Tribolium castaneum: one gene and its partner. The protein of the gene in region 1 binds, or shares a complex with, the protein of each later gene. Links are inferred from orthologs where the notes say so. Each region holds a gene or a part of one and is shown on either strand. Other genes may lie near its edges.

Evidence for each region. The genes of interacting proteins can lie anywhere in the genome.
Region 2: Dpm1 (region 1) and Dpm3 share a complex: the UniProt entries of both Homo sapiens proteins name them as parts of the dolichol-phosphate mannose (DPM) synthase complex. The link is inferred for Tribolium castaneum from reciprocal best matches to the Homo sapiens genes DPM1 and DPM3.

Annotation. Positions count from the first base shown.
Region 1 is NC_087396.1:17,388,775-17,391,657, reverse strand, and holds Dpm1 (dolichol-phosphate mannosyltransferase subunit 1), read right to left. Parts: upstream 1,527-2,883; coding exon 1,312-1,526; intron 1,265-1,311; coding exon 1,054-1,264; intron 1,007-1,053; coding exon 596-1,006; 3' UTR 507-595; downstream 1-506. Other genes in the region: V-type proton ATPase subunit G, read right to left, coding at 1-169, 256-337; kappaB-Ras (NF-kappa-B inhibitor-interacting Ras-like protein 2), read left to right, coding at 1,755-1,853, 1,905-2,171, 2,220-2,462; phosphoenolpyruvate carboxykinase [GTP], read right to left, coding at 2,789-2,883. UniProt on the Homo sapiens protein: Transfers mannose from GDP-mannose to dolichol monophosphate to form dolichol phosphate mannose (Dol-P-Man) which is the mannosyl donor in pathways leading to N-glycosylation, glycosyl phosphatidylinositol membrane anchoring, and O-mannosylation of proteins; catalytic subunit of the dolichol-phosphate mannose (DPM) synthase complex.
Region 2 is NC_087401.1:8,499,683-8,501,983, reverse strand, and holds Dpm3 (dolichol-phosphate mannosyltransferase subunit 3), read right to left. Parts: upstream 978-2,301; coding exon 828-977; intron 783-827; coding exon 705-782; intron 657-704; coding exon 603-656; 3' UTR 547-602; downstream 1-546. Other genes in the region: uncharacterized protein LOC656609, read left to right, coding at 42-546; ATP7 (copper-transporting ATPase 1), read left to right, coding at 1,202-1,235, 1,288-1,426. UniProt on the Homo sapiens protein: Stabilizer subunit of the dolichol-phosphate mannose (DPM) synthase complex; tethers catalytic subunit DPM1 to the endoplasmic reticulum.

The DNA.
Region 1 (2,883 bases):
ATCTCCTCAATTCGTTGTTTGGTGTCCGCCTCAATTTTGGCAGCAACCCCTTCTTTAGAGCCCATGTGTTTCGCCTCAAAATCGCGGAATTGGCGTTCGCGTTCCTTGCGGTATTTTTCAATCTCATCTTGGGCCTCCTCTTTGGCCTGTTTGAGCCTTCGGGCCTTACCTGTAAAACAATTGAGAACTCGTGACTGTCAAACATGAACGCCCACTGCGATTCATGTTTGGGCTTTTTTCGCAAAAAACACTCACGTTTGCGGGCTTCTGACACTTTTTCAGCCGCTCTCTTCTCCGCAGCTAAGAGTTGCTGGATTCCTTGGGTTTGACTTGCCATTCTCACTCAAAATTCACCACGAAATCGGAGTACGAGTACACCTGAATTGAGGCAAATGTCATATGATCGCTAGTTGGGGAAGTCGACACGGATTGATAGGGTGGCGCTAGTGGCAATTGTGTCACGGTCACATGTTTTTCAATTCAATATTAATAAAAAACAATTTAAATATTTCATAGAAGCACTTTTATTAAAAAATAACATACATAAATGTTTCATTTATTATTTCAAATAATTATTGGAATGCAGAATATAAAATTATGTGGTGGCAAACAAATAGAGCAAAGCTTTAGCAAATTGAAATATCTCTGAGCCCCCAAGCTTAGACTCCCCATAAACCCTATCAACGAAAGTAATAGGGACTTCCCCGACGGTATAATTAAATTGGCGCGCCCTCACAATCATTTCCATCTGGAAAACGTAACCTTTTGAAACACAACTTTTGATTAACTTCTCTAAAACATCTTTTTTGTACAATCTGAAAGAACCAGTCAAGTCTGAGGCCCCAGGTCTTAGTAAAAGTTGTGTTAGAAAATTGGCTCCTCTTGAAATCAATTTTCTTCTAAAATCCCAACCATAAACACCACCAGAGCCCACATAACGCGTCCCCGAGACTACATCATAATCCTTTGATTTTTGTTTTTCAATAAATTGTGGGATAAACTTAGGCTAAAATTTTTCTATTAGGTAATATTTACGAAAAATATGCATGTTACATGATGGCTCAAATCCGCATCCATAATAAGAATAAAATTGCCACTGGCGTGTTTCATTCCGTGGATGTAAGCAGTCCCCAGTCCCAGCTTTTTCTCTCTTGGTTTTAGCAAGATTTTATTTTCGCCGTAAATTTTTTGGAGCTGTTTGGCGGCATCTTGCGTCCCGTCGGGGCTTCCATCGTCGATTATGATTACTTCGTAATTATATCCACTAAAACGTGGCTTTAAAAATGGGAAGAGAAGCAATAAAAGCCCCACCTCTTTTCCATGTATTTTACAATCAGCCATACGATAATCGGCAAGTTTTCCACTTCGTTGTATGTTGGTAGTAAAATCGAGTACTTGTCTTCACTACTTTTACTTTCTTTGCCCATTTTGCCGGAATTTTCAAATTTGTTCTCGTCACGTTTGAGGTTAGGAATTAGAACAGCGAAAAGCAGGATAGCCAACAAACCGAAAAAATAGTTGCGCATTTATTGACACGTAATCGAGTTAGCTAAGCAATTTACAATCACTAATTGCGCACAATGAACTGATCAAGTATCAAAATAATCGATAATAAATCCAAACATTTGGTTTTTGCGAATTTTATGATTAATAATTTTTTGATACGTTGGTATTTGTTTGTCAATGTCACCTGTGACAACGACAGGTGTCAAATTTGACGTTTTGAAATAAACAATACTCCAGGCAGCCCCAAAATGGGTAAAACATCAAAAGTAGTGATATGCGGCATGAAAGGGGTCGGTAAAACCGCAGTTTTGGAGCAAGTCATTTACGGTAATATAACCTCGAAGAGTGTATGTATCACAGTCCTAATGCTGAAGATTTACTAAATGAGGGGTTTCTAGGAGTTACATTCTACTATTGAAGACATTTACGTCGCTAATATTGAGTCGGATAAAGGCACAAGAGAAAAAGTTCGTTTTTATGACACTGCGGGCCTTGAACCGCTCCAAACGGCCACAGCTAGTGGAACCACCAACCAGCAGCTCCCCAGACACTATTTGGCGATTGCTGACGGTTATATTTTAGTTTATGATACCGAGAAATCAGAATCACTTGATATGTTAGTGTCACTCAAGAAGGACATTGATAAGAATAAAGATAAAAAAGAGGTGTGTCCAACTAAAAAAATGACTCTTATTTATTTATTGATATTATAGGTTACTATAATTGTGATAGGAAATAAATTTAAAGAGACTGAAAATACGGAATTTGACTCTACGTTGAGTAAAGCCACGGCCTGGTGCAATAGAGAGAAATTGAGGCATTTTACGGCATCTGCAATGCACAGAATTACGTTATATGAGCCTTTTGTTCATATCACGAGTAAATTGAATCCTCCACCTAGTAAAAGTACGTTTACGCCTTTATCTATGGGTAGAAAGGTCAAGGATCAAAGTTAATTTTTTCAAATACTCAAGACTAAATCCTGAAGCATTTATTTATTTTATTTATTGATTTATGTAAATCATGAATCTGTTTATAATAAAGATTTTTTAAAAAACATGTGTGATAATTTTCCGGTTTCTTCTGAAATGACTAAGCATAATTTTAAGTTAAATAACAAAGTAAAGAACTTGTAAATTGAAAGTATTTATTTAGAATACCTTTGATAAAACTTGTATAAAAAATTAATCTCTTATAAAATACTTTGATACAAAACTAAGCCTAAAAAGTAGTTACATTTATCAATTGCAATAAATGTTTGAAGTGAGATTTGTGAATAAATCTACATGTCATTGACTCTCTTTTTTAGTTGTTTAAGTTCTTGTTCGATAGTTTCCGGTAGATCCGAGCCGACCTGTTCGTTGAAATACTTCTCAA
Region 2 (2,301 bases), on another chromosome or scaffold:
TCACCCTGTATATTATATTAAAATATAATTTGGGTTTGTAGTATTCGGCTCAATCCTCGACAAGTCAATGTGAGACAGTTTCGCGTCCAGGAGGTGCCCCGCGAAATTCGTAAACGTTTTACGGAGACATCGGAGGGGCCCCAGCAAAAGAAGCCAAAGGCTGATGAGGCTTTGCCCGGACCTAGCGGCCTCCAGCCGATTCCAGAAGAGGTAAATGAGTCTGATAATGAGAGGGCCCCCTCACCGCCGCAAGAGCCCCCCTACTATCGTAGGGTTTTTTTCCGCGGTTGTCCCGTCATACAAATCGAGAATCTTGATGAAGTCAAGAAGGACTTTTCCGTACCGTTGAAACGACTGTCTTTAAGGGGGTACAAGAAGATTACCAATACGGCGCTACATTACATCAAGGATTTGGAACTCGAATTGTTAGACGTGACCTATACGAGTATTACAAAGGACGCAATCGAAAATTATTTAGTGGAGCACCCTTCGTGTCGGGTGCTCCATGAACAGTTTTGTACGTGCCCCCCGAATTTGCATTTTTAGTTTTCGTGTAAATATTGTGATAGGGAATGGAATAACTACCGTTTTTTGTAATAAATTTATTTAAATCGGAAACCTAACTTGGCCAAATCCGCCCGTGCCTCCACTATCTCCTAAAAGACAAAATTTGGTAAACACACAAAGTAAGGCCACACATTTACCTCTTGCAACTCCGCGGCGGCTTTCTCACAATCATTGAACGTAAAAACACGATACAAAACAACAATTATTGCGTAAATCTACAAAAAAGTGAAAATGTTTCACATAACCTCACTTTGACTCACCCCAAATAAACCGACAAAAATAACCGGGGAATAAAACACGGCAGTGGGGTATTGCCTCACGAAACCAAACTCGACCGTGTTCGTCACTAGAGACAGCCACACGGCCCCCAAAGCCCCCAAAACGGCCACCCACTCAAGTAATTTCGTCATGTTAGGTTATGTTGGTGCAAAAATGAAAAGTCCCCAGGAAACATCTGCCAAAAGTTTGGCTATTTTTGTCAAAATTTGAAAGAATTTCCCAAAATTGTCGATAATTAAAAAAAATCACTCGTTGATGATAAGAGCACGGGACGACTCGAATTCGCACGACTCGATAAACAATGCCTCTGACAACAAAGACTTGAGTAAACAATAGAAATTTTGAAATAATTACAATGGAACTGAGTACAGTGCGCTTTGTGCCCAAAGGTGAGCTTCCAGGGGCGCGATTTGGCGGTTTTGAGACAGTTTGGGGTTCCAGATGGGGGCAAGCGCAGCGCCAGGGATTTGGACACGCTCAGGGCGCAGATCCAGAGGATTGACGGGACCACGGTGAAAATCCCTCCAGACCAGTCATTTGTAGACGTTACAATACCCGAAGGGAATTATTACTTGATCCGGTAAGTGACAAGATTACGTTTTTTAAGATTAGATATGCAGTGGTTCAATAAGTGTTGGCAAGTGGTGGCAACATGTTCAAGGCGCTCAGAGGGGCGAAGCCCCAGTACGTCAGGCTTGAAGCGTAAGTCCGAACCTTGAATCAATTCGAGGTCGCTTTTCACTCAAATAATGAGAGCAAAGAGCGGATTTACTTTCACCGACACTTCAGTGCGATTTTTCACAATGTTGGGTCGGTGGTTGTTGTGATTTTGTGCCATGTTTGGGTACAACCGGAAGTATGTGGTTCGATTTTTATCTGTTTGTTTCATTTTTCAGTCAACAAGTTTGATTTTTGCCCATTTTCACTCAAGTCGTGCACGTGATTCAATGAGTTTTTTGTTGCGAATAATAGAGTAAAGCCTTGAATTGTGCGTTAGCTAATATAACTGATAAGTTATAAATAATTGTAGGTAAGCGACGCAAGTATTAGCTGCTTATCTAATCGTTCTTTTGAATACAAAAAACATTTCACTGTTAAAATTCTTGTTGCGCCATTGGTGATTTATTTACCAAATTATTTCCTTTATTCTCAGGCTCGTGTTTTTAAACAAAAGTGAAAATTATTTTTTCTTTCTTTGGTTCCAATCCAACTCTAAATTTAATGCTTGGTAAAATTTACTTTCTATTCAATGTCAATATTATGCAAATAAATGTGCAACAAAACGTGATTATAATCACGTGGCCTCAATCTCTCTAAAACTAAATTATATGACTTGGAGAAATTTGCAAATAAATTCTGTTCTAACAATAAGACAGTTGGTGACAATGTGAATAAATTTTTGGTTGTCTGATGCTTTAAATTCTTGTTGTTTTTTCTTTTCCGTTTTATTATAAA